Macaca mulatta: one gene and its partners. Each later gene encodes a partner of the first gene's protein in a complex. Links are inferred from orthologs where the notes say so. Each region holds a gene or a part of one and is shown on either strand. Other genes may lie near its edges. The genes, in order: COA1, SURF1, CMC1, ACAD9, NDUFAF1, TMEM186 and TMEM126B.

Region 1 (4,282 bases):
CTAAAAGTTAATCTCATGTGCTTTTCATCTAAAAGAACGGTAGCATAATCTAAAAGACTGTCACATATCTGATAAATGACTTGTATCTAGAATATATAAAGAACTCTTGCAACTCAATTACAAAAAAGAACCTAATTTAAAAATGGGCAAAGGATCTGAGCAGACATTTCTCCAAAGAAGATACATAAATGGGCAATAAGCACTTGAAAAGATGCTCAACATCATTAGCCATCAGGGAAACGCGATTTGAAACCACAATATTTTCAAAAAGTTAGGAGATTTTTAATGGTTGCAACACAAAGAAAAGATGAATGTTTGAGGTGATGGACATGCTAATTACCTGATTTGATCATTACACATTGTATACATTTATCAAAATAACATTCTGTAGTCCCTAAATATGTACAATTACTACATGTCAACGAAACAAAAAATGAAAACACGATGACACACACTTCACACCCACTAGAATGGCCAGAATCAGAAAGACAGATAATGACAAGTGTTGGCAAGGAGTGAGAAATCAAAACCCTAATACACTACTGGTGAGAATGTTAAAAAGATGCACACTGATGCTTTGGAAAACAGTCTGACCGTTTCTTAAAATGTTAAACAGAGATACCATATGACCCAGCCATTTCACTCCTAGGCACATATGCAAGAGAAATGAAAACATGGTATGTCCACACAAAAACCTGTAGGTGAATGTTCACAGCAGCATTATACATAATAGCCAAAAGGTGGAAACAATCCAAACGTCCACTAACTAATGGAAAATAAATCGTGGTAATACCTATAAAATAAAAGATTAACCAGCAATTAAAGAAGTACTGACACATGCTATTAAATACAACACAGACGAACATGAATGTTAAGTAAAAGAAGCCAGCTGAAAAAGACCACATGCTGTATGATTTCACTCACATGAATAATCCAGAACAGTCAAATATACAGTCAGTCAATTCATAGTTGCTTAGGGCTTAGAATGGGGAGTGGGGATGGGGAAGTCAGGTGAGCCTGCTGAATAAGTACAGGGTTTCTTTTTGGAGTGATGAAAATGTTCGAAAATTGTTCCAATATGGCTCTCACAAACTGAATGCAGCACATTAAACATGAACAAAAGAATACAAGAATAACTTACTGCAGTCTGTCTGAAATAGACTTAATAAAATTAAACCAACTAATGAAGTTGAAGAAGATTACAGCATATTTTGTGATGATGGTTGTACAACCTTGTGAATGTACTAATTACTTTTAGGTTTGGTTTTGTTTTTTATTTTTTATTTTTTTTTTTTGAGACGGAGTCTAGCTCTGACGCCCAGGCTGGAGTGCAGCGGCGCGATCTCAGCTCACCGCAAGCTCCGCCTCCCGGGTTCATACCATCCTCCTGCCTCAGCCTCCTGAGTAGCTGAGACTACAGGCGCCAGCCACCACGCCCGGCTAATTTTTTGTATTTTTAGTGGAGACGGGGTTTCACCGTGTTAGCCAGAATGGTCTCGATCTCCTGACCTCGTGATCCGCCCACCTCAGCCTCCCAAAGTGCTGGGATTACAGGCGTGAGCCACCGCTACATTTTAAATGGTGAATTCTATGGTGGGTGAACTATGTGTCAGAAAGTTGTTTTATTTTTTTAAAGGACTGAAGACTGTTTTGTTTTGTTTTGTTTTCATTTTATCCCATTTTTTAAAACAGTGCCTAGCAATATTATGAATTCAATCGATTTTGGCTAAATGTTAAAACAAAAATAAAAACTTGGGTAAACCATATGAAACTTTGCCGTATCTAAAGTTATTAAATTACTGTAAACTGGCATGGTGGGAGCATAATATGAGTGTACCTGCAGGTGTGTTTTCCATGAAAGTAGCAAAGACTGAAAAATTCAGCAGAATCAAGACCCCGAAGGCCCCTTAAGTTAGGCTAAGAAATGTGTATTATCCTGAAGGCAACGGGAAGTCCAGGAAGATTCTGAGGACAGAAATAACACAATCAGATATGTTTTAAACGTGCAAGTGTAAGCGAAGAGTTGCTACTTCTATCCAAAAGTGAGGCACCATTTCCCCCAGGGGAAAATGGGAAGGAATTAGGGGAAGACTGGAGAAACAGGTTATCAAATTATCAGAATCTCCATAGATTTTTAAAAATTACACAGCATCCACCCCAAACACACATACAGACTGACAGGCACTGATACATACATCCAATGTCCCCTACACAGAAACTCACTTTTGTAGTCAGCTCCTGTTGGTAGGGTTTTTCTGTCATTCAAGTGTGGCGGGGACAAAAAGTATTATAACCACTAAACCAGATAATTCTTTCCTACAATAATGTGGGCAGCGTACTCCCCAGGTGTTGAAATTTAGTACTACCAACAAAAGTACCCAGTCCCAACTCTTCGAGAGGACCCCAACTCTTTACAGTGTGCTGTTGGGGATGCCCAGCAAAAACTGCAGGACAAAGTCAACGTTAGCTCGACACAGTCTCCTAACTCCGAGCGGACGGAGCCAGCGCGGGTTACCAGGAGCCAAAGAAGCAGCGCAGGGAGGTCGCGACCCGGAGCCGGCGCGAACCTCCGCGATGTGACCCGTGAGGGAACTCTCCAAGCAGCAGAGCACCCCGCGCGCGAAGGCGGCCGCCCGGATTGCAGAAACAAACGCTTCTCGCTGGCGGGGGAAGACGGAGACTCTTACTGCCGCAGGAGACTAACCTGTGAGCAACAGAACCACCACGCTGTGGAGAGTGTGAGCAGTTCTTCCAGGCGTGGGGGGAGCACGGGTAAATGACCGCGGTCCGGCGCGCCAGCGGGGAGCAGTCGAGACTTCCGGCGTCTGCAGCTCGCAGGGCTAGAGCGTCGAATCGGGGCAACCGGAGGCTTCAGCTCACACCGGATTGTAAATGCTAACGCGGGTCTTAGGGCCGGCGGATCCAGGACTTAGGTCGCCGGGACTTGTGGCTTCTGCTTCTCAGACGTTCGGACTCGCGCTGGGAAGGGGTTCGCCTCCCCTGGTCCCCGCTTTTTTTTTTTTTTTCTGCGTCCGGTTATTGCAAATGCATTCAGTCCAGTAGCACTAACCCAGGAAATTTAAGCACCGGCTCACGTTATTTCTCGCAGGTATGTGGCGCTTCCGCTGGCCTCTAAGGACACAAAGCCCCGGGCCGTCTGACCCCCACTCCAGCACTGAAATCCATGCCGCCCCGTTCAGCTGACAAATTTGGCAGCACTAAATTTTATTTTATTCTACAAATTGAGTGCCCAGTTAACACCAGGGAGTACCGGGGTAAGAAAATTTCAGAAGTCAGGTGGATAATAATAGCATTTACCTCATAAGTTTGTTATGAGGATGTAAAGCGCTTAGAATAGTGTCTGGCACTTTGTAGGCGCTCAGTGAATGTTAGCTATTTTTTTTTTTTTTTTTTGAGACGGAGTCTTGCTCTGTCGCCCAGGCTGGAGTGCCGTGGCCGGATCTCAGCTCACTGCAAGCTCCGCCTCCCAGGTTCACGCCATTCTCCCGCCTCAGCCTCCCGAGTAGCTGGGACTACAGGCGCCCGCCACTTCGCCCGGCTAGTTTTTTGTATTTTTTAGTGGAGACGGGGTTTCACCGTGTTAGCCAGGATGGTCTCGATCTCCTGACCTCGTGATCCACCCGTCTCGGCCTCCCAAAGTGCTGGGATTACAGGCTTGAGCCACCGCGCCCGGCCCACTATTATCATCTTAATGTCAAGCTTGAAATCCAGTATCTTTCCTCTGCGAAGCCATGACTCCAAGACTAATTAACTTTGGACTAAGGCATTTTTAAACTCTTGATCACACATCCCTATCACAAAAAAAAAAAAAAAAAAAATTTACATGTATCATGTATGGCATTAATATATTATGCATGCTATAAAACTTTCACAAGACATCAAACTTTTTTTAAGTGAGGTAAAAACAATTTTTAAACTTTTTAAAAAAACTGCTAACAGAAGTTCTTTTCTTCCTACACAATTAGGTTGCCAAACATACATTCTATCACTCTGGAATCCACTAGCTAAATGAGAACATTATCAAAGCAACCTACCGTTCAATTCTGAGTTCCCAGAATGTTTCTTTTCCAAAGAATTAATAGAAACTAATCAGACTGTGAGATACTTGAACCATAAGGACTATTTAAATGGTTCTTAGAGAAAAAGAAGAAATAAAATAGGCATCCACTGAGTAATATTCATTGATGCAACATTGACTATTGACTTCTTACATTTTCAAAGAAAGAGATTGAGATTATAATACCTTACACCAAGCTTAATA
Region 2 (3,118 bases), on another chromosome or scaffold:
TGTAATCCCAGCACTTTGGGAGGCCGAGGTGGGTGGATCACGAAGTCAGGAGATTGAGACCATCCTAACATGGTGAAACCCCATCTCTACTAAAAAATACAAAAAAAATTAGCCAGGCGTGGTGGCGGGCACCTGTAGTCCCAGCTGCTGAGGCAGGAGAATGGCATGAACCCTGGAGGCGGAGCTTGCAGTGAGCCGAGATTGAGCCACTGTACTCCAGCCTGGGCGACAGAGCGAGACTCTGTCTCAAAAAAAAAAAATGTATTTGAACTTTTGCCAGTGATGGTTAAGAATTTCTTCACCTGAATAAACCATGTGGTCAACATTGTATCTGAGGCAAAAGATTGTCTTGAGCTAAAACTGAAGATATTTCTGCGTTCTAAAGGGGAAACTAAGACCAAAAAAGCCCCACTTTTGTTTTCCCTCCTGCCTTTTAGGGAAGACAAAGGCGCTTTGGCTAAGCTGGTGGAAGCTATCAGGACCAATTACAACGACAGATACGATGAGGTAAGAGCTTTACACAAAATATTGTCATGCACAAATCATTTTACCAAATAACTGGCTGGCTTAACTTACGAGAAGTTCTGACGATCAGCTTGTAACAGTCCAACAGAATAACGCAACTAATAACCTTGAAAATATCAGAAAACAAGTCAAGCTGACCGCCTCTTTCTGTCTTTTCAGATCCGCCGTCACTGGGGCGGCAATGTCCTGGGTCCCAAGTCTGTGGCTCGTATCGCCAAGCTCGAAAAGGCAAAGGCTAAAGAACTTGCTACTAAGCTGGGTTAAATGTACACTGTTGAGTTTTCTGTACATAAAAATAATTAAAATTCAAATTTTCCTTCAGCCAGCGTCTGTTGAGTATCTTCGGTTGAATCTTATTTGGGGCTAAGAAGTACCCTTTTTTTGAGATAGCCTCACTCTGTTGCCCAGGCTGGAGTTGCAGTGATGTGATCTCACAGCAACCTTCGCCTCCCAGGTTCAGGATATTCTGGTGCCTCAGCATCCCAGGTGGCTGGCTGATTCATGTTAGCCAGGCTGGTCTCAGCTCTTGACTTCAAGTGAGCCACCACACCTGGTCCTTCCTGCCCTTATATATTCTTACACCAGGCGTTTTGTTTCCTAGAGATGTACCTTGCGTGTCAAGTTTTGGGAAAGTTCTTTGGACTGAAACCAAGCCAGGATTTTATCATCAACCAGTCATGAGCTCATTTAAGGTAGAAGGCCAGAACTTTATACCAGCAGCACATGATCCAGCATAAAGGCAGTCTTTTTACTTCATTATTCAGGGACAGGGCTTTAGCAGCTGATCTGTCACACACCAGGTGTCCCACGTAGGAATTTCTTAAACCACAGGTATGATGTAGCTGCAGAGAGTCCATACCTTGGGGTTGAAAGAAAGCTGGCATTAGCAGGCTGCTGGGCTGAAGGGGAGGGAGCCAGAGGGTCACTGGGGACTCACCAGGTCACGATGTACTGCAGATGCTCGTTCCTCAGAGTAACTCTGGTTTGCCCTCCAATGGGTCCTCCAGGGACTGTGCTCTCTGCAGAGACAGCAGACTTGAAGTCCACCCTCTGCTGCCTGCCAGCCTCTGCACTACTTCCTAGTGGTTGTCATTTTTGTGTGGCCAGTTGGAAGTCCTGTATGGCCTTTACCTTGGGTGACCATCCCCAGCCTTGTCTGCTCAGTACTTGCCGAGGTTCCTCTTTGCTGAGTTGCTGCCCGCCCCCCCTCCATATACACACATGCGAGAACATAAGCCACGGCAGTGACTGGGCAATGAGAGTTAGGAGGAAGGACAGTTATTGACAAAAGCTACTTATTCCGGGGTGGGCTGGTCACAACGTACGGAAGTTGGCGTCAATGAAGATGGGCTCTGCGCCTGTGATTCTGGCCATAGCTTCCAGGTCCCGGTAATACCAGTGGTTCCCTTCTGGATTGTTCTCGGGGACAAAAGGTTGCCTGGTTTCTGTCAGCCTCACCATCCCAATGAGGTCCACTTCTCCCTCAATCTATAAAGGAAGGTGTGAGACTGCACAGAGCCTGGCGGACTCCCAGAGCCTTCTCTAAAGTAGGAAGGGTCCATGTCCCTTACCTGGCCTTTCTGCCGGGTTTCAGGATTCACTTTCTTCCTGGGAACGAACCCTCTATTAACCAGGATGGTGGTTCTAGGGTAATGAAAGGACTATGTCAGGTGGGGAGGGTTTTTGAATGAACACGGTCACTCAGGCACCCATAGGAACAACTAGAGCACCAAGGAAGGCTTTTAAAACAGGACTGGCTCAGGGGAGCCCTGGCAGTGCCACACAGGCAGTCTTCCTCTCTTGAGGCCCCTTCGTGGTCAGTAAAAGCCTCCCTGAAAAATGCGGCTTTCCCCCTCTATCTCTGCATCTTGTGGTCTACCCACTCCAGTGTGCAACTGGTGAGCAACACTGCCATCCAAGAGTAGACCCCACACCTCTCCCCTGAACTGTGGCAATGGCTGTCTCCAATCCCTCATAACCAGGGCAGCCGTGAGGAACAACCCTGTCACCCCAGCCTGCTGGAGATGAGCATTTGGGCCCTATCCCAGGCCTAAAACAGGAACCCATGGGTTAACAAGAGCCCCAGTTATTTTCTTTTGTACGTGAATCCTCCAGTTCCCCAGTTAATCACACAGGTGCTCCTGTACCTATCATTTGCTTTGCCTGGAATGTTCTTCCCATCTCTTAACGCCCCCTAGGGAACCATCCCTGCCTCCACTCCCTCAAGGTAGAGCTGAGGTCCTTTCTCTTGAATTCCTCTCAACTGGCCTCTCTTCATAGTCCGCTATCATCTAATGTGTGGGCAACTGGAGAGTTCTCCAGAGGAGGGGCCCCTGTTTCACGAATCCCTCCTTTCCCTTCAGAGGTCAACATATAGAAATTACCCAGTCATAAATGAGCCAGCTGAGAAGGTTAAGTCAATGTCACAATTAGAGACTTAAACGATGCAAGGAATTGAATCTTCTGGGTACCTTGGGTTCCTCAGGGTCTTACCAAGGTTAGGGATTGTGAAGGAAATAGTGATGTAAATTAGCATACCCCGACTGCCTCTGCCAGGACAGCCAGCTCCCACATACCCTACTCACCCCAGGTC
Region 3 (4,024 bases), on another chromosome or scaffold:
ATTTACAAAACATACAAGGAAAAGGACCTGATTCCCCGGCTGGGTGAGTGAAACGTTAATTCTTCACCTTGGCACCTCAACCTACAGCTGTAATAAGGGCCGTTATGCCCAAATAGGCCCTTAAACGGAAGACCTGCTAAGCAGAGACCCACTTTCCCAGCCCCGCTCAACTGCCTCAGCTTTTCTGCCAACTGACCAGGCGGAAGCAGCAGCAGGGGAGGAGGGACTGCAGGTAGGTGGGGAGGGGATCATTTTGAAAGCCCTAAATCCCTTGCAGGGAAGAAGCAGCTGCTCCTTGTTTTTCTAAACATCTGTCCCATCTGTCCCAGGCCACACCTCACCCTTTGGTGGCTCGAGCCAGTTAAACGTGAATTTGACAAGAAAGCCCTTCTGAAGGCTGGTTTGTGAGTGGAAATGAACCTAAGTGCCACCTAGAAAGTTTCTTCTACTGACAAGACGTTAGTAGGGGGTCTTCAGCGGGACGGCTATTACCTTCCTTCATTTTATTCTCACAAAACACAGCTTTTACTGATAGAGGCGGGATTTGTAACGTCACCCAAATCAGACTGTACGCCCTGGGGATATTATTTCACAACATGAGGTACTTCTAGAGCCCACATTTTAACCCCTAGGAGAGCCACAGCCTAATTGGAAGGAGAAATAACGATATTGCACACACCATACCGCCTTTACGGTAGAACAAGCTGTGCACATCTAGTGCCTGTGGCGTTTATCACATTTTTCAGCGTGTGGCTTTTATTTGTCTCCTCTGCCACACTGCTCCTTGAGAACAGGGACGTTATTTTTATTGTTATTTTCCCCTCGTATTCAGAACCGTGGCTGGAACTTGGTAGGCATGAAATAGATATTTATGAATGAATGAACGTTAACGAAGAAAAGAAAAGGAACTGAATGATTCATTTGGTTCTCCGAAGGCGGGTGTGAGGGGCGGGGCTCGGACTTTGACCCAGTTACCGAGTGAGGCGCAGTCCCAAAGTCCTGCAGGTCCGGCTCCAGTCACCGCAGACCCGGGTCTACAACCGGTGCTCAGGCCTCCCGAAGCGAGCCTGCGCGCGTCCTGCACGGTCCCGCCCCGAAGGAGCGCAGCCACGCCCCCTTCTCTGGTCATTCCCTCTGCGAAGTCAGTTCCACTCTAGTTACAGGATTGGGGCGGGGCCGGCAGAGCGCAGGCGCAACGGGCGGCGGAAGTAGGAACCTGGGAAGGAAGAGAGAACGGGGCCTGGCTGTGCTATGCCAAGGGCCCACGTTTCTGTTGTGGGAAGCTCCAGGAGGTCGCACGTGCGTCCGAGCCCAAGCCCCTCCCCTCCACTCCCCTCCCCGCTTGCCCCGGAGCCGCCAAACGGCCGGCTTCTTCTCGGCCCGCCGAGATGGCGCTCGACCCCGCAGGTACCCGGGCGGGAAACGGGGTTTGCCGAGGGGCTTTGCCCTGGGTCTCACTCCGCGGGCCGTGCGGGCTGGAGACCGACCTGGGAAAGGTGCAGAGCTTTGGGTGGCATTGCTTCCACCAGCGTCTCCTCACGCTCGGCGTCTGCTTCACCCAGTCTTAGGTCATCTTCTCACTTGTTGGGGGTTATGGTTAGCTGAGGTTGCTTTTGTTGTCTAAACTCTCATGCATTGTGGTTTCTTACTTAACGCGACTCGTCTCTTCATTGTCACCCTCTTTTCGCCCCTTAAGGGCACAGACTCATTTAATGTATGGTGCAGACACTCTGGCCCCAGAAAAATTTTTATATTTGTTCTGGCGCACAGTTTTACATTTCTGTTTGGGAGTTCATGGACCCCGAGTTCATCCTTGTAACCCAACTTAAAAACACATTTCAAAGGATCCATCACTATGGCAAGAGTCAGTTTCTTTGGGAAGGATCTTCAAAGTCTTGAATGTTGTTTTAATCTCCTTGCTTCCAACCACTTCCGTTTGCAGCAATAGTTTACGTCCCCTCGAATTCCCGTCCTTGTGAAAGGTGACCTGCAGTATCTTTGCTTTAGGCTATTCTTGCAAGGGAATAGATAACCAACAGGAGGGAATGGTAATTGGTCTAGTCCATTTCTTTCATTTTCTGGATACAAAAAGTCAAAACATTGAGAGGTGAAATGGCGTCAAACTTGGGAGATTCAGAAATGGGAAATGCTCTTTCGGAGACTTCAAGGAGCATGAAAAATATATGTAGCACAGAAATAATGTTTTAATTGAACACGTTATTACCATGCTAAGTGTTCTCTGTTATCCAACAGTATGTGATATGGTAGGTTCCTTTAGCTCCATTTTACAGATTAGGAAACCGAGGCGAAGAGAAGTTAAGTGACTAGTCCAGCAGGTAGTGGTAGATCAGGGAATACTCTAATTTGAAGCATAGAGGAGTTTTGGAACACAATGATCATGTTCATTTTGGACTAGGTGATTATGAAACAGCAGTTGATCTGGGCTTTGAGGGATGGAATTTCCAGTGTTTGGAACTGGAGAAGAGCAGCTCCATGAGCAAAGGTTTAGATAATAAAGTGCACTGTGCGATGCTTGGTTTCAGGATGACTACTATGATTTCGTTCTTGAAGGTAGAAGGGGTAGGGTGTAAGTGAGGGGTGAGTAAGGAAGGTTCAGGTTTAGTCCCATATAATTTATGGCATTTATTTTTTTATTTTTTTATTTTTTTTATTTTAGTGGGACGGAGTCTCACTCTGTAGCCCAGGCTGGAGTGCAGTGGCTCGATCTCGTCTCACTGCAACCTCCGCCTGCTGGGTTCAAGCAATTCTCCCACCACAGCCTCCCGAGTAGCTGGGATTACAGGCACCCGCCACCACGCCCGGCTAATTTTTGTATTTTTAGTAGAAATGGGGTTTTGCCATGATGGCCAGGCTGGCCTGGAACTCCTGACCTCAAGTGATCCGCCTGCCTCGGCCTCCCAAAGTGCTGGGATAATAGGTGTGAGGCACCACACCCAGCCTAATTATGGTATTTCTGAACTTGAAGTGACATATAAAGTCATCTCATATAGATGAGGAGATTGAGACTGAGAGAGGTTAAAGATTTCCATATATCTATAATTTTTGAATTTAGACAAGGAAATTTGGGAGAAAAATCTTCATACTTGCTGTCTTCACTTGCTTACCTTCCAGTTACTCATAAGCCACTCCAATCTTGTGTTGTACCCAAGGCTGCACAGCTAGTTGCTGGTTGAATCAAGTCTGGTTAGAACCTAGGTAATTTCATTTCCAGTCCAGCGCTGTAGACCATGCCACCTTTTGAGTATTGATTAAACAAAGACTTGTTGAGTGTCTGGTATATGGCCCGTATTGTTCTGGGCCCTAGGGAACAGTAGTATATAGGACAAACAAAATCCCTGCTTCAATAAAGCTTATCTAGTGGTAGAAAAAGACAATTAACACCCCCTTCTCCTTCTACACAGACACGTGCGTGGGCACACACACACACACACACATTTTTACAGATTGTGATAAACATGAAGAAAATAATGTCATGTGGTAGATGGTGAAGAGATTAGTCAGTGAAGAGCTTTATGAAGAAGTGTCATTTGAATTGGAATCTGAGGGATGAGAGGAAGCTAGGCAAAGTGTGCTAGGCCATCAAGTAGCAAATATTTAACTTGAATGTGGGTCAGAGTGTGGAGGGGATCCATAAGGAAATATACTAGGAAAGTGGGTGGTAGCTAAATGCCTAGATATTGCAGAGGCTGCAAGGCCTCAAAGGCTGGCTGTGATAATAAAACATTTGGATTATTTCTAATGTCATCAAACGCCTTTAGAATCTTTTAAAGAGGGCAGTAACATAATTTGTGTGTTTATTACCCTGACTACAGTGGTAGCATGCATTGTAGAGGGGTCAGGTAATAAGTGGCAGAAGGGAGACAGGTTAAGAGATGGGAGCAGTAGTCCAGGCCAAATATGTTTGTATCTTAGCCAAAGATGGTAATAGAAAGATGGACAGAAATATACAGCATCATGAGGAGAAATTGACAGGACCTGCTGTTGCATTGAATAAGGATGGTGA
Region 4 (3,981 bases), on another chromosome or scaffold:
GGGGAGACTGATTTGGCTATTAAAACTCCCTCTCCAGCACAGCTGGCTCTGCGTGAATTACTCTTTCTTATTGCCATTCCCCTGTCTTGATAAATCAGCTATCTAGTCAGCGGGCAAGTGAACGCCTTGGGCGGCTACAGCCTGGCCTGTCCCATCCCATCCAATAGTTCCCATCTCTTCTCAGCTCCCTCTGTAGTTTCTCTTCCTCCACCTGCCTTTTCAGTGTTTCCCAAGACAGAGGTGACTCAGTTTTTTTTTTTTTTTTTTTTTTTTGAGACGGAGTCTCGCTCTGTCCCCAAGGCTGGAGTGCAGTGGCGCGATCTCGGCTCACTGCAAGCTCCGCCTCCCGGGTTCACGCCATTCTCCTGCCTCAGTCTCCCGAGTAACTGGGACTACAGGAGCCCGCCACCGCGCCCGGCTACTTTTTTGTATTTTTAGTAGAGACGGGGTTTCACCGTGGTCTCGATCTCCTGACCCTGTGATCCGCCCGCCTCGGCCTCCCAAAGTGCCGGGATTACAGGCGTGAGCCACCGCGCCCGGCCGTGACTCAGTTTTATCCAGACCGCTCTGTGACTGAACACCCATTTTCTTTTCCTCTTCCAGAAAATATTTGTCAACTAGGTACAAAACAGTATCTCAGGAATTCACCATCCAGTTAAAAATGGGACCTTATCCTTACCGTGCCCCTGCAGAGACCCCAATACCGCGCATTTCCCCCATTCTTTTGCTTTCCTCAAGTTTTACCACAGCCTCGCGGCCGCAAGTGACAAAAGAGGCAAGGGGAAGCAGCTGGGCCGGCCTTTAGGTTTCTGTACACAGGGAGATTTCCCATGGCTAGCATTTATGGAAACAACTGCTGGTATGTGAAAAATAGGTCCCTCACAGCCGTCACGACGGCCGGAGCTCATACCCGCCAACATGCCCGCGGCCCCGACCCTCCAATTTTCTCCGCCCAGCAACTCTGGCCGCGCAAGCACAGTGGGACCGGAGGGAAGCGTGGGCACGTGACGTCATCAGGCAGCGCGGACCAGCCAGGTGCACATGACTAACGGCCTTGGCCGCGGAAGGTGGCAGCCGGCAAGCCCTTCTGGCCTCTCCATCCCCTGTTGCGGTAGACCGCGCAAGCGCAGTGAGTACTGCACAGCGTCGCGGGCCAGTAACGTCATCCGACGTTGCGGACCATGTGTGTGTCCCTGCTGCGCCAAGTAAGAAGTGGAGCCTGAGGCCGGGGAACAGCGGGCGGCATGAGCTGGTGCAGGCTCTTCCTGCGTACCACGGCTGCGGCTCGTGCCTGCCGGGGTCTGGTGGTCTCTACCGCGAACCGGCGGCTACTGCGCACCAGCCCGCCTATACGAGCTTTCGCCAAAGAGCTTTTCCTGGGCAAAATCAAGAAGGTAACGCGAGCCCTGGGCGAATCCTTGCTGTCTGGCTCCCGCTTTTCATCCTCAGCTGCAAGATTGGTGTTCAGCTTTGTCGGATTCCCCAAACCTGCCAGAGAGACACACCCTGCGGGCGAGGCGTGTTAACACTCTGGATTCCTGAGTTCCAGGAAAACCTTCCTAGAGAAAGGGTGGGACATTTCCTAGACGGAGGACCCTTGGAAGTGTAAATTTTGTCAGAATTTGGAAAACTCTAGGCTAGGTAATTTACAAAGCAGCCTTCATCTCAGCTGGTCTGGTCTGGAAATGTGCGGGGCTTCCTCTCTTATTCCTAAACAGTTTAGACCGTGTCCCTCCTCAGTCACCTTCCAGCGCCCTGGGGCTTCCTTCCCCAGTTGAGCCGTAGCGCCTCTCCCAGCCATTGAGGTTCCTCAGAAATCTGGCTCCAAGATGCTTCCCGGGCGTCGCACAACCCTGCCAGTAGTAACAGTTTGGTTATAAAACACTCATTGTCCTCTTAGAGTTGGAAGACTTGGGTTTGGTCTTGGCTCGTTGACTTTGAAACTCAGTTCTTTTTTTTGAGACAGAGTCTCGCTCTTGTCGCCCAGGCTGGAGTGCTCACTACAACCTCCGCCTCCTGGGTTCAAGCGATTTTCCTGCCTCAGCCTCCGGAGTAGCTGGGATTACAGGCGCCCGCCACCATGCCCGGTTTTTTTTTTTTTTTTTTTTTTTTTTTTGTATTTTTAGCAGAGATGGAGTTTCACCATGTTGGCAAAGCTGGTCTCGAACTCCTGATCTCAGGTGGTCCACCCGCCTCGGCTTTCCAAAGTACTAGGATTACAGGCGTGAGCCACCACTCCCGGCCGAGACTCAGTTCTTTCAGCCTTAAAATGGAAATAGTGTTGTGTCTCCTTCACAGAGGTGTTGTAGAGCCCCAGTGAGATAAATGGTGCATGGAGAATCGTCTTAAACTGTAGAGTACTGTGCAGCAGAAGAGAGAACTGGCTTCAACACTAGTCTTATGACCTTGGAGCTGATGGTTTCACCTCCCTGTGCCTCAGTGCCTTCATCTACAAAATAGGAATAAACACATTTCTTGCTTTTTCCTTTGTGTTTTATTTTATCTTCTAAGGAAAGCAACAGTATACTTGCTATTTCCTCGAGGTGCCCTGCTTTGAGCTTGGCTGAATGTTGGCTGATCCTCTATCACGGAAGTTATTCCCTGGCTTCTCTTTGGAACATTCCTCTGAGGTTGTCAGGCTGATCCCTTTATAGCAAGCAACCTTATTGATGCGGAAGCTAAGACTCAGACTAAAAGCAGTTTGCCCGGCTAGAAGGTGCAGAGCTATGTCTTTGACATATGGGAAACCCTTTTACCCAGGACCTGGGGCAGTGTGGTGCTCTATCCTGGGACCTCCTGCTTTCCAGCAGCATGGTGAAGAAAGAACACAAATCCTTCAGATCTGTTTCCATCATAAACCTTTGGCACCACCTGCCCTGCCCTTACTCTCAGCTGTCAGCTTTGCTTCCCATTCCACTGAGAAAATCCATGCAGTCAGATGAGAACTTCACAGGCATAGTTACCCCCTCCCCCTGCATGTGCCCATATTATCTACATTCTGTTACTATGACTGAACTGTCTGCTTCTGGCAAAACCAACCTCTCATTAGACCCCAGGCCTTCTCACCTACTCAAGGGTAATTCTTTCCTTTCTCGGAATCATTAACTGTTCTCTCTACTGGATTTTGAGACCTTACCATTCAGACGTTTGTCCCTAATGGCCATGGAAGTCAGTAGTGACCTCTCTGTTGTCAAATCGTGTGATCTGTTCTCAGACCTCATCCTACTTGGCCCATCATTGGCATCTGACGCTGTTCGTTCTTCTACCCTGTTGACACACTTTCTTCTCTAGTTTCTGAATCACTATTCTCATCGTTCTCTGAATGTTCTAAATACTTCACTGACTGATACTTCTCTGTGTCAATTGCTAGTTCTTTTTTAGCTCCTTTACTGCTAAACAATGACCAGTGTTTCCAACTAGCCAAGTTGGAATTTACTAAGGCTGGGTCTGTGGATGTCTTTTCATCTACAACCATCTCCTGGGTGACCTTATTTAGTGTCCTGGCTTTAAATATCATCAATATCCTGATGCCTCAAATTTCTTTTTCCAGTTCAGATTTCTCCCTGAGCTCCAGATTCCTTTTGCTTTTTCAGAGTTGGGGCCTTCCTCTGTCACCCGGGCTGGAGTGCAGTGGTACCATCATAGCTCACTGCAACCTTGAACTCCTAGGCTCAAGAGATCCTCCCACCTCAGCATCCCCAGTAGCTGGGACTAGGCACGCCCTGCCACACCCAGCCAAGGTCCTTTTTTAAATCTACCTTTGTACTCAAAAGCTCTGCTAAGAGGTTTAACAGGCGTTTGAGATTAATAGATCCAAAACTGAGTTCCTGGTTCCCACCCAATCCTGGTCCTTCCACCAGCCTTCTTTTATCATAGATAATGGTGGCTCTGTTGTTCCACCTGTTCAGACAGAACACCTGGCGTCACCTTGTACTCTTATTCTCCTAGTTCACGTCTAATTCCACAGAAGATCTGGTTTTC
Region 5 (3,500 bases), on another chromosome or scaffold:
GTCAGCCTGTGGCTTTCTTTTTTTTTTTTGAAACGGAGTCTTGCTCTGTCACCCAGGCTGGAGTGCAGTGGCATGATCTTGGCTCACTGCAACTTCTGCTCTCCAGGTTCAAGTGATTCTCCTGCCTCAGCCTCCTGAGTAGCTGGGACTACTGGTGCATGCCACCATGCCTGGCTAATTTTTTGTATTTTTAGTACAGACAGGGTTTCACCATGTTGGCCAGGCTGGTCTTGAACTCCTGACCTCGGGTGATCCACGCCCCCCCCCGCTTGGCCTCCCAGAGTGCTGGGATTACAGGTGTGAGCCACTGTGCCTGGCCCAAATATTCATTTTGGAATAATGAAAATAGTAGATAACATTTATTAAGCGTGATGTGCCAGTCCTTGTGCTAAGCACTTTATATTATCCCATTTATTCCTCACAACAGTCTCCTGAGGTAAGATCATCCCAGGTTTATGGATGAGGAAACAGAGTTGGATAGATTTAGTAACTTGTCCAAAGTTACACGGATAATAAATATTAGTTTATATCTAGACTTTGGTGTTCTCGACATCAGAGTACCCTTGAGATTGCTGTAACTAAATGCCTTTGGAAATGAACTAAATTCCACTTTTGAAGAGAGAGGCAGTATAGATAGTTGTTAAGCACACAGATTTTGGAGTTAAACAGCATTGGATATACCACTTATTAGCTGAGTGCTTAGTTTGTTTATCTGTAAAACGGGGTAAGATGCTAATAACCTATCATAGCACTGTTGTGAGGATTAAATTATGCATGCAAATTATTTAATGCACATATTCAATGGATGCTAGCCACTGTTGTTAAATATCACTTTTAAAACTTAAGCTCTTTTCTCTATAGTTTTCTGACTTGTGGAAAGGCAGTTGTCATAAAATAGGCCACTCAGAAATCACCGCTCCTTGGCCGGGCGCGGTGGCTCATGCCTGTAATCCCAGCACTTTGGGAGGCCGAGGCGGGTGGATCACCTGAGGTCGGGAGTTCGAGACCAGCCTGACCAACATGGAGAAACCCCGTTTCTACTAAAAATACAAAAAATTAGCTGGGCATGGTGGTGCATGCCTGTAATTCCAGCTACTCGGGAGGCTGCGGCAGAATTACTTGAACTCGGGAGGCAGAGGTTGTGGTAAGCTGAGATCGTGCCATTGCACTCCAGCCTGGGTAACAAGAGCGAAACTTCGTCTCAAAAAAAGAAAAAGAGAAAAAAGTCATTGCTCCATAGGACCAGGTAAAGGAAATACATTCATTTCCATTCAGTGAACACAGGTGAGTGCCTACCCCATGTAAACACTGTCCTGGGCCAGTTGTGTGTTGAACATTACCTTAGAAACATATAACTAAGTCAGTATTTTGTGCTAAAATAATAATCACTGGGTTTATCTGCCTTCTTATGGGGCAGAAAGTCAGAAAAATGGTTAGTGAATCCTGTTGATGATGCTGACTTGGTGATGACTCACATTTTGCTGATAGTGGAGAAGGAGGTGCAATTAACTTTCCTTTCAATATCGTAGGGTGCTTTTGAGAGGAAGTTGTCTTATGATTGGTCGCAGTTCAATACTCTGTATCTCCGTGTACGTGGGGATGGTCGGCCTTGGATGGTGAATATCAAGGAGGACACAGATTTCCTCCAGAGGACGAATCAGATGTATAGTTACTTCATGTTCACCCGTGGTGGACCCTACTGGCAGGAGGTCAAGGTACAGCATAAGTCTTCATTGTTTAAAAAAATGAGGTCTTGGCCGGGCATGGTGGCTCACGCCTATAATCCTAGCAATTTAGGAGGCCCAGGCAGGTGGATCACCTGAGGTCGGGAGTTCGACATCAGCCTGACCAACATGGAGAAACCCTTTCTCTACTGAAAAAAATACAAAATTAGCTGGGCGTGGTGGCACGTGCCTGTAATCCCAGCTACTTGGGAGGCTGAGGCAGGAGAATTGCTTGAACCCGGGAGGCGGAGGTTTCGGTGAGCCAAGATTTTGCCATTGCACTCCAGCCTGGGCAACAAGAGCCAAACTCTGTCTCAAAAAAAAAAAAAAAAAAAAAAAAAAAGTTGGTGTCCTAGGCCAGGTGTGGTGGCTCATGTCTATAATCCCAGCACTTTGGGAGGCCAAGGTGGGTGATCATCTGAGATCAGGAGTTCGAGACCAGCCTGGCTAACATGGCAAAACCCTGTGTCTACTAAAAATACAAAAATTAGAGGCCAGGCGCCATGGCGCACGCCTGTAATCCCAGCACTTTGGGAGGACGAGGTGGGCAGATCACGAGCTCAAGAGATTGAGACCATCCTGGCCAACATGGTGAAACTCTGTCTCTACTAAAAATACAAAAATTAGTTGGGTATGGTGGCGCGCGCCTGTAGTCCCAGAACTCAGAAGGCTGAGGCAGGAGAATTGCTTGAACCTGGGAGGCAGAGGTTGCAGTGAGCCGAGATGGTGCCACTGCACTCCAGCCTAGCAACAGAGCGAGACTCCATCTCAAAAAAAAAAAAAAAAAAAAGGCCGGGCGTAGTGGCTCACGCCTGTAATCCTAGCACTTTTGGAGGCTGAGGCAGGCGGATCACGAGGTCAGGAGATCGAGACCATCCTGGCTAACCCAGTGAAACCCCGTCTGTACTAAAAAATACAAAAAACTAGCCGGGCGTGGTGGCAGGCGCCTGTAGTCCCAGCTGCTTGGGAGGCTGAGGCAGGAGAGTGAGGTAAACTCGGGAGGCAGAGCTTGCAGTGAGCTGAGATCTAGCCACTGCACTCCAGCCTGGGCGACAGAGCAAGAGTCCGTCTCAAAAAAAAAAAAAAAAATTAGTTGGGCATGGTGGCACATGCCTGTAATCCCAGCTAATAGAGGGGCTGAGGCAGGAGGATCGCTTGAACCTGGGAGGCGGAGCTTGCAGTGAGCTGAGTGAGATTGCGCCACTGCACTCCAGCCTGGGCAACAGAGTGAGACTCCGTCTCAAAAAAAAAAAAAAAAAAAAAAGGCCGGGTGCGGTGGCTCAAGCCTGTAATCCCAGCACTTTGGGAGGCCGAGATGGGCGGATCACGAGGTCAGGAGATCGAGACCATCCTGGCGAACACGGTGAAACCCCGTCTCTACTAAAAAATACAAAAAACTAGCCAGGCGAGGCGGCGGGCGCCTGTAGTCCCAGCTACTCGGGAGGCTGAGGCAGGAGAATGGCGTAAACCCGGGAGGCAGAGCTTGCAGTGAGCTGAGATCCGGCCACTGCACTCCAGCCCGGGCGACAGAGCCAGACTCCGTCTCAAAAAAAAAAAAAAAAAAAAAAAAAAAAAAAAATCTCACAAAGCCCCCATTTTGCTCATGTCGTATACTTGAGGGTCATCCTGAATTCTTCTCCTTCGCCCCACATCCAGTCTATTAGCGAGTCCCGTCACCTCTGCTTGCAAAATACACTCAGCAGCTGACCTTTCTAGCCATCTCTTCTACTCCCACCCTGGTCCAGGTGATTGGATTATTGCAGCAGCTTCATTATT
Region 6 (4,132 bases), on another chromosome or scaffold:
CAGCCTCCCGAGTAGCTGGGACTACAGGTGCCTGCCACTACACTCGGCTAATTTTTTTTTGTATTTTTTAGTGGAGACGGGGTTTCACCATTAGCCAGGATGGTCTCGATCTCCTGACCTCGTGATCCACCCGCCTCAGCCTCCCAAAGTGCTGGGATTACAGGTGTGAGCCACCGCGCCCGGCAATAAAACATTCTTATTGACTTTCGAGTGGCAAAATAATAAAGATCATGCCTTCCTTCCTCTTTACTGTGTTACAAATTGCATAATGAACATGTATTATTAATTATGCAGGGCAATGCATATAACTGGCTTTAGTTTATAAAAGAACGTACCAGCATACGGTCCATTAGGCTTTATTACACTGCAGGGCCATCCAAAGCAAGAGCCTCTAGATCTCAGCGTGGTGAACAAATCTCAAATGGGGTTTCGTGCTCACTTGGACGACATCGCTGCTCATCGATGTGTAGTTAACATCCTGGCAGACCTTTCTGCTGCTGGATGTGTGAGGGGCACAGCACAGGGCTCTGGAAGTCCCTGCTGACTGCTCGAAGCCTTTCTCCATGCCAAAACCTCTGACCAAATGCTTAATGCTATCTGCTCTAGGCTGCTGAGTCTGCCACACGTTTGACATTTATTCCCACATCCATCCCACGAAACAAGCAGGGCTTTCCATTTTACAGATGTGAAAACCAAGGTTCAAAGAGACTCAATAACCCACCCCAGGACAAGTGACAGAACTGAGACTTCTGACTCCAAATCCTATGCTCCCCCACCACACCTCTTTGCCTTTCAATTTCACACCAATGGACTGTCTGGGTGACCCTGGCATAGGTTCTTCTAAGAACTGGCTCTTAACAAAAACTTCTGGCCGTTATCTGACTGAATGTCACACACGAGTGCTGTAAGAACTTGCTTAGAGCCTTTTTCCTAAACCTGGACACCAGCTCTTGCCTTGTGAATTTCTTCATCACAAAACACATGTTCCCAGGGGCCCAGGCAAAGTCTCCAAGTACCCAATCCCCTTTCTTCAGCTGTGCCCACACCCTCAGCCTTCCTGTCAATCCAGGTGACCCAGGGTTACCCAGAGGTCCAGGCCCCAGTTGTTTACTTGAACATCTGATGTCTCCCAAACACCTGCGTGAAACGCTCTCTGTCCAGGATGTGTCCATAGCGCAGGGTGACGTAGAAGGTCTGTTTCCCGCTGTACCGCTGGATACGCATGAACATCTCCTGAGGCTGGTCCTTGGTTTCTGTCAGGGGAATCACATCTGCCAGGGGACAGTATGTGTCCTGCCGCCAGCCCCAGAAGCTCAGATGGGCCACCCGCAGCATGGTGCCAGACTCATTCAGATACAGGATACCAACCAGTCTCCGAAAGAAATAGCTCATCCAGCACAGCATGGTCAGGGCAAAGCCCGATATCCCACTCATCAGGCACACGGTGTTGAGAGTCAGGAGGCCCTGGGAATACCAGTAACAGGCTGGTGGCAAAACTACCACTGTCAGGGCAGTCTGTGCCAACTTCAGTCGAGACAGGAACCCAAAGATTCTGATGGCATCAAAACGGTAAAACATCCAGAATTTCTCAGTCTCTTGGTTTGGTGGTTTCTCCTTCGAGGTGGGTGACCTGCTCCCCACCCACCTCTTAGGATCCTCCTGCCCACTGCAGCACCACAACCCATGGAGAGGCCTTTCCCACGCAGCTTTTCCCCGAAATCTAGGCACAACTCGGAGAAGGGCAGCCTGAAAGGGAGACAGTAGACGATTTCTCTCATGGAATTCAACCACATTAATCACACGGTGAACATCTGCAAAGCACCATACTCCAAGGCTTCTGCCAATCCTGCAAGGTCACCATTATTGCCAGAGGAGGGAAGGGTAAAGCCAGATGTTATCTCATGTGGGCATCACAACAGCTATCTAAGATAGTTATCACTATTTCCACTTTACCACTAGGGAAACTAAGCCCAGAGAGGGTAAGATATTTACCAAAGAACACACAGTCAGTGAGTGCAGCAGAGTCCTCCTTCCATCAGGCAATTCCAAAGAAATACAAGAAAGGAGGTGCGGCCATCAATAATTCAAAACATATCTAGGGAGTCCCAACTCTGGGCTGGACAATGGATCCACAAGGGGGTGTGAACATTTCCCCAAGCAGGAAACTGAATAATCAATGTCTTAGTGGGGAACTCAAGCAACAAATCTGTGAGATAGTTATCCCAACAAACTTTCTAATTCTGTTTACGTTATCTTGGGTGCTGGAGGGAACTGCTGCTTTCCCTTAACCTAGTCAGGGGAAGGGGAAACAACGAGGAGGAGGAGGAGCGAGGCAGGGAGGCCCCTACACGTAGCACAAACATATTATTAGGTGGGTAGTGAAGCAGTAAAAGCTCTGGTTCCAATTCTGGCTCCATCAGTCACTACCTGTGGATTCTTGAGCAAATCACTCCACACCCCTGAGCTTCGGTTTCTTCGGCTTTCAAAATGGGGACTCAGAACACAGTGAACGAGAAGATGGTTTCAAAGCCCTCAACTTAGTACCTGATGCGCTGTGAGAGCTCGGCGAGTTTTAGCTATTACTACTGTGAGCACGTGACGCAAGGAGGGCAGAGAAAGCCCGGGAATGGCGAATGGTAACCCACGCCAGAGCTTCCTCCCACGGATTCTTCAGGTCCGAAACTCAGGCGTCGTGCCTGCCTGCCCCAGCTCTGACCCCGACCGACCCCCAAAGAGCATCACCCCCTCAAGGATCGCCACCAGCCTCCTTACCATGGCTCCACAGCCTGCTGCCGGAAGTAAGTCCCACCGGCCCCCGGAACCTCTAAGAGCGCATGCTCGAATGTACAAGGCGGGCGTGATCCGCGTTGCACCCTGGGATTTGCGGTCCAGGAATCGTGGCTGGCGCTAGTCCCAGGCGTTGTGGGAACGGAGTCTCCTCCTCTTCCCGACGTGCCCTGCGGCTCGGGGGCCGAACTCGGAAGTTCCGGGCCGAGTTCCTGATGCCAATGAGTCTTGCGAGGTGCGGTTAGACGCTGGGGACATGGCAGCTCCTGGCCCAGCGCTCTGCCTCTTCGACGTGGATGGGACCCTCACCGCCCCGCGGCAGGTAAGTGGCGCCCGGCGGGCTGGTGGCAGCCGACTCAGAGTCCGTGCTGTTCCCAGTTGGAGCTATCGACTACCCAGGGTCGGCGCCAAGGGCTGGCTAAGGACCGCCTGCGTCCTCACGGGGGCTGGACCCTATTCTAGGTGCCCTGGAGGGATGAGAGGGAGGCCCTAACCAGCTCTTCAAGAGCTCTGATGCTTGGAAAGATGAGACGGGGCTGAAGAACTCTTAAGAGAAGGAAACTTATGCTTGGTTGGAAAATGCAATCTGGACTCACCGCTAGTCCTCGGGACCGATGGACCAGGATTTGAACCCGACATCAGCTGTGTGCCCCTTATCAGCTGTTTGCCGGCCTCAATCCTGTAACCAATGGGCTGTGCCGTGAGTCATTATATTAAAAACAGGTTTCCAGGTGAAATCGACCTAGTGGAGTCTCATCTTCACCTCTTCACAGCTGTGTGACCTTGAGCAAGTCATTAACCTTTCTGAGCCTCAGCATCTACAGCTTTAAATGGGGATATTACGTGTTCCATATGGTGACTGTGAGGATCAAATGAGATTGTGTAAGTTCTTGAAAGTATGTTGCACACAGCACACTAGGCCTCAGTAAATAGTAACCACCTCCACCACACCCATCTCCAGCCCCTGCAGTGGACTAGGAAGATGGAGGAGCCCTAGGTTATTACAGGCTGCCCGCTGAGAGCCTCTTTGGGCCTTTCGAAACTTGCTTTCCACTTCCAGATTTTGCTGCTACAGGCACAGATAAGTTTCAGTCACTATCAGCCTTGAGATGAGGCTTTCCTGTCCCCTTTTCAGAAATTGGCCACTGACAACCGGCCATTTCAACTTGAGAGTGGACCCCAATGGTCTCACTATCCTCAACTAATATCCTCACCCCTCGTAGTCTTCGCTTGGTGGTAACAATGGTGTGCTCCAGAAAGCCACGTGAAATGCGTGTGACCTTAGACGTATCATTTTGCCCTTGTCAGCCACAGGTTTGATCTACCTAGTGATGACACTCAACTC
Region 7 (4,116 bases), on another chromosome or scaffold:
TCACACACTAACTTGAGAAATTGGTAGTATAATGATTATCTCTATACAGATGAGAAACTGAGGGTCTGAAAGGTTGGCTTGCTTAAGATTTAGTTTAGAGGGATAACATACTGATACTGTTTCTGTTTTCCTCTCTCCTCATTCTGAGAAGGCAGTCAGGCCCTTTGTAGTTGTCCTCCTAGCTCTTCAGGTGGGGAGGTGGAAACAATGGCTGCTTATTGACATCTCTATCCTCAGTTTCTCATGAAAGACTGAGTTCATTTTGGAAATCGTGTTTCATTTCCTAGAGAGGTAGGAGAGAGCAGGGATTGCCTTGGAGAACAGTGAGAGAGAAAAATCAGAAAGAGGGACACTGCTTCAGGAAGGGAACAGGCAGTAGATTGTGGCTACTACTTTGAAGTACATAAATTACATAACCAGTTCCCTATTACCACCTGTGGTGGAAGCAGAGCCTTTGCTAGAAATGATTATGTAGTATAGCAGAGACCCACACCTGCCACCACACCTGGCTAATTTTTGTATTTTTACTAGAGACGGGGTTTCACTATGTTAGCCAGGCTGGTCTCGAACTCCTGACTTCAAGTGATCTGCCTGCCTCGGCCTCCCAAAGTGCTGGGATTAAAGGCGTGAGCCACCGCGCCGGGCCCCAGAGACCCACAGCACTGGGCTCCTTGGTTGGAAGGTTCTTGTGTCCCAAGTGTGATGAACAGACAGCTGCCAATGTCAAGGGACCATGAAGACTTGGCCAGTAGCATCTTAACAGAAACTAGAGAGATTAAAAAACAAAACAAATCAACAACAACAAGAAAACAAACCCTGCACTCTCAGACAGGATCCTTTCTGAATGTTTTGCTCTGGGCAAGACTCTAGAGTTTCTGTGAAAAGTCTTAATAACATTTGTTAAATCCAAACATGTAGTTGCAAATGTTTACCTACTACAGCAGCCAAGTGGAAAGTCTATTGCCGCTAAATTCACTGCTTTTTACTTTTTTTCCTCCAGATTAGCCAAATAGCCTCTTTACAAATGTACACTAATCTCAATTTTAACGTTTATATTGAAGGCAAATACTAAATCTCAAGGTTAAGGAGTCCTAGACAAGAGGATTAGAGGGGATAAAGCATAATGAATACACAAAATACTTCATAAATCAGTGGTTCTCAACCTTCAGCATGCACAAGAATCACATGGGGTATTTATTTGAAATGCAGTCTCATGAACTCCCTCCTGAGATATCTGGATTCAGCAGGAGTAGGATGAGGCCTAGAATCTGCATTTTAATAGCACCGAGTGCTTTTGATGCTGTAGTCAATGGACACATATTGAATATTACCGTAATACTCATTTGCTGAATGAGCGGTATGTACCAATCCTAACTATAGAAGGGCCAGTTGATTATACACGGCTCCTGGCATCAACATACGTAAGTTATGAGCTTCTTTGAACCTTCTTATGGCATTACACAATGAGTAATAATGGACCAATTTCTTTCTCTGCATCATCGCAGAATTGTACTCAATCTTTTTCTGTAACATTTCTGGAGAGGGCAGGGGGAAAAAAAAGTAAAATATTTTACAAATTACAATTTTTCAGTGACTAGACTTACATCTTTTTCCTCTCCTGGACACCCAAATGGAAAGTATAAGGGATAGTAACATCTAAGGGAGATTCTATACCTAACCCATCTATTGTACTAAGATGGCAGATGTCAATAACATGAGTAACCATAAACCTTACATAAATTTTTGTTTTGCTCTCATCCAATTCACTGAAGTCCTCCACCTTCCACCAAAAACAAAAAACAAAATAAACTTCCAGGCAATATCTTCTACTAATCTCCTACCTAGTCTACACCCTAAACTCTCTATAGGGAAAGCAGACACCCAGGATTATGATTACAGGATAGCAAATACTGAAAAGAACACAGGAAATATTATTGAGTGCTTAAGCTTTGCAAGGCACTGTCAAAGAATCGACTGCTTTCATTACACCCCTCCCCTCTTAAGGCCACTCAACTAGTCACCACGCTTATACCAGTAAGAGTGGATTATAGTTTGCAAATCATTTAACGGTTTTGTAGTGCTTTCATGTGTATTATTTCACCTAATAATACATTTTTCACCTAATAATAAATTTCAACTTTAGAATTTTATTCAGTATTCTCTCATAATTTAGGGAGCACCTGGTATATGCCAGGCCTCCGAGTAATCAAGATACAGTCATCCCATCCTCAGGAATCCACAATGTAGTGGGAGTTCAGAACAAAAATGCTGGCAATTTAAACACAGAATGAGAGAGTGACATAAACGAAAAACCCAACAACCTAAGAAAAGGCAAACTTAATCTAGCCAGAGGAGGCGTGGGAAGGCTTCCCGGAGGAAGTGACATTTAAACCAATATCCTAAAGAGAACAATTTGGCAGGGGAGTTGGGACGGATAGAAGCAGGGAAATATTCCAAGTTGAAGAAAAAGCCTGTGCAAAGGCCTGGAGACAAGAGAAAACAAACCGCAGATAATGAGTACTAGAACTTAGGTAATCTACGTTCTCTCCGCCTCTTTCCACAACAGCTGGAGACTTAATCGACTGCTCCTTGCATGGACTTGGGGGCTGTTTTAACTTTTCAAATCTCCTTTAAGTGTATCATCTTGGAAGACTCTGCCAACACTCTGAAGCTGCAGAAATCACCCCCCATACCACTTCGGATTTCCGCCTACCTTGGGCGCTTCCTCAGTTACCACCGGCACCACACCTGAATCCCTCAGCTTGGCCCCAGCCTCATACCCGAACACCGCCATTTTGATGGCTCACGTGATTTGCTGGTGGGCGGGAAGTGGGGCGGGTTTACGGCTCATGCCTCTCGCTTGCAGCCCGGGCCCGCCCCCCTCAGTCAAAAGCCGCGCCCTCCATCCTGTCTGTGATTGGGCGCGGTGTCTAGAAATTAGGGCCACTTATTCGCTTAGAGGAGGTCCAGGTGCCTGTGGGTCCGCCCCCATCGCCAGCAGAGTATTTCCTTCCCTTGCTATTTGTCAGTTTAGCTCCCTGTTTTCCTCGCGTCTTGCGGAGAGGATGGGGCGGCCCAAATGCTGGAATGTTACTGCGCTCCTGCCTCTCCTCAGGGCACCTCTGGTAGCTGGGAACTAGCTGCCTGCCCCTTTCAGTCCTTGAGGGAACTCGCCCCTTTGCCCTGGCCCGTGTGGTGTTAAAGCTCTGTTTCTCGGGCACCTCCTCCTCCAAACCCCCAACCAGCCGCCCAGCGCCGTCAGAGCAGCCCCGACTAGCCTCCTCCCCTCTCAGCCGTCTGACTCCTCTCCCCAGTCTGTAGTCCCCTCAATTTCCATCCTTTAGCCCCGCTTGGAAGGAGACAGGAGAGAAATTTGCCCACTACCCCCCGAGAAGACCCACTTGTCAGTCGTGTCTCAGGGTGGGGGGCACTGCAAGGCCTGGCGCTGTTTTGTGCACGTTAAATGCCCAGCAGTATCTCCCAGACCGGCAACCCCCGACCCTCCAGTCTCCATGTCTTAGAGAAGCCAAATTCGAGAGTTATATAATTTCTAGTGCTGCTGTTGCTCCTGCCTGAAGAAACACTTCATCGCGTGGAGGGTGCAGGACATTTCAGTGCTCTTCCCTAAAAGAACGGGGCTTGGGCAGGGGTGGCCAGCGGTGGCAGAGAAATGTCTTGTCTTTTCTGCAAAAGGAAGGTGGGTAGTTTGAAGAGAGATTGAGAGAAAAGGATGTGGATGTGAAAGCCAAGCAGCTGCACTTTTTCATTTTGAGGAAATCGCGGACCGTTTGCATAGCTTATGCTTACATGTCTAATACTACTACGGCGTCTCTGAAAACACCTTTGGGGGAAGGTTTGGCTTCTCTCGAAGTCTCAGTGTTTTTCCTCGCCGGATAGGGAGCTGCTTGGATGCGAAGAGATGGCATGATGTGAATGACTCCAGTGTGAAGAAATCTGCTTCGCCAACTCATCCTGCATCAAGTGCCCATTGAGTAGCACTGTCACTTTAATGTCTCCATGCCAAGGGATTGCTTTCCTTTTTTTTCAATCCTCTCTGTTAATACATGGGAGGATCAGAATCAGAGGTGCATTAAGGATCAAGCCTGGGGGCTTGGA

The links.
Region 2: COA1 (region 1) and SURF1 share a complex: the UniProt entries of both Homo sapiens proteins name them as parts of the MITRAC (mitochondrial translation regulation assembly intermediate of cytochrome c oxidase complex) complex. The link is inferred for Macaca mulatta from reciprocal best matches to the Homo sapiens genes COA1 and SURF1.
Region 3: COA1 (region 1) and CMC1 share a complex: the UniProt entries of both Homo sapiens proteins name them as parts of the MITRAC (mitochondrial translation regulation assembly intermediate of cytochrome c oxidase complex) complex. The link is inferred for Macaca mulatta from reciprocal best matches to the Homo sapiens genes COA1 and CMC1.
Region 4: COA1 (region 1) and ACAD9 share a complex: the UniProt entries of both Homo sapiens proteins name them as parts of the mitochondrial complex. The link is inferred for Macaca mulatta from reciprocal best matches to the Homo sapiens genes COA1 and ACAD9.
Region 5: COA1 (region 1) and NDUFAF1 share a complex: the UniProt entries of both Homo sapiens proteins name them as parts of the mitochondrial complex. The link is inferred for Macaca mulatta from reciprocal best matches to the Homo sapiens genes COA1 and NDUFAF1.
Region 6: COA1 (region 1) and TMEM186 share a complex: the UniProt entries of both Homo sapiens proteins name them as parts of the mitochondrial complex. The link is inferred for Macaca mulatta from reciprocal best matches to the Homo sapiens genes COA1 and TMEM186.
Region 7: COA1 (region 1) and TMEM126B share a complex: the UniProt entries of both Homo sapiens proteins name them as parts of the mitochondrial complex. The link is inferred for Macaca mulatta from reciprocal best matches to the Homo sapiens genes COA1 and TMEM126B.

Annotation. Positions count from the first base shown.
Region 1 is NC_133408.1:84,623,426-84,627,707, reverse strand, and holds the start of COA1 (cytochrome c oxidase assembly factor 1 homolog), read right to left. Parts: upstream 2,801-4,282; 5' UTR 2,705-2,800; exon of another isoform or gene 2,224-2,704; intron 1-2,223. UniProt on the Homo sapiens protein: Component of the MITRAC (mitochondrial translation regulation assembly intermediate of cytochrome c oxidase complex) complex, that regulates cytochrome c oxidase assembly.
Region 2 is NC_133420.1:9,172,817-9,175,934, reverse strand, and holds the end of SURF1 (surfeit locus protein 1), read right to left. Parts: coding exon 3,111-3,118; intron 2,170-3,110; coding exon 2,097-2,169; intron 2,014-2,096; coding exon 1,851-2,013; intron 1,545-1,850; coding exon 1,463-1,544; intron 1,385-1,462; coding exon 1,315-1,384; 3' UTR 790-1,314; coding exon of another isoform or gene 685-789; 3' UTR 508-684; downstream 1-507. Other genes in the region: RPL7A (large ribosomal subunit protein eL8), read left to right, coding at 438-507, 685-789. UniProt on the Homo sapiens protein: Component of the MITRAC (mitochondrial translation regulation assembly intermediate of cytochrome c oxidase complex) complex, that regulates cytochrome c oxidase assembly.
Region 3 is NC_133407.1:20,311,549-20,315,572, reverse strand, and holds the start of CMC1 (COX assembly mitochondrial protein homolog), read left to right. Parts: upstream 1-1,224; 5' UTR 1,225-1,388; coding exon 1,389-1,407; intron 1,408-4,024. UniProt on the Homo sapiens protein: Component of the MITRAC (mitochondrial translation regulation assembly intermediate of cytochrome c oxidase complex) complex, that regulates cytochrome c oxidase assembly.
Region 4 is NC_133407.1:155,085,261-155,089,241, reverse strand, and holds the start of ACAD9 (complex I assembly factor ACAD9, mitochondrial), read left to right. Parts: upstream 1-1,181; 5' UTR 1,182-1,244; coding exon 1,245-1,394; exon of another isoform or gene 1,395-1,570; intron 1,571-3,981. UniProt on the Homo sapiens protein: As part of the MCIA complex, primarily participates in the assembly of the mitochondrial complex I and therefore plays a role in oxidative phosphorylation.
Region 5 is NC_133412.1:18,739,133-18,742,632, reverse strand, and holds part of NDUFAF1 (complex I intermediate-associated protein 30, mitochondrial), read left to right. Parts: intron 1-1,529; coding exon 1,530-1,715; intron 1,716-3,500. UniProt on the Homo sapiens protein: As part of the MCIA complex, involved in the assembly of the mitochondrial complex I.
Region 6 is NC_133425.1:10,021,461-10,025,592, forward strand, and holds TMEM186 (transmembrane protein 186), read right to left. Parts: upstream 2,801-4,132; 5' UTR 2,776-2,800; coding exon 2,773-2,775; intron 1,747-2,772; coding exon 1,108-1,746; 3' UTR 341-1,107; downstream 1-340. Other genes in the region: PMM2 (phosphomannomutase 2), read left to right, coding at 3,044-3,109. UniProt on the Homo sapiens protein: As part of the MCIA complex, required for efficient assembly of the mitochondrial complex I.
Region 7 is NC_133419.1:86,220,570-86,224,685, reverse strand, and holds the start of TMEM126B (complex I assembly factor TMEM126B, mitochondrial), read right to left. Parts: upstream 2,801-4,116; 5' UTR 2,795-2,800; coding exon 2,714-2,794; intron 1-2,713. UniProt on the Homo sapiens protein: As part of the MCIA complex, involved in the assembly of the mitochondrial complex I. Participates in constructing the membrane arm of complex I.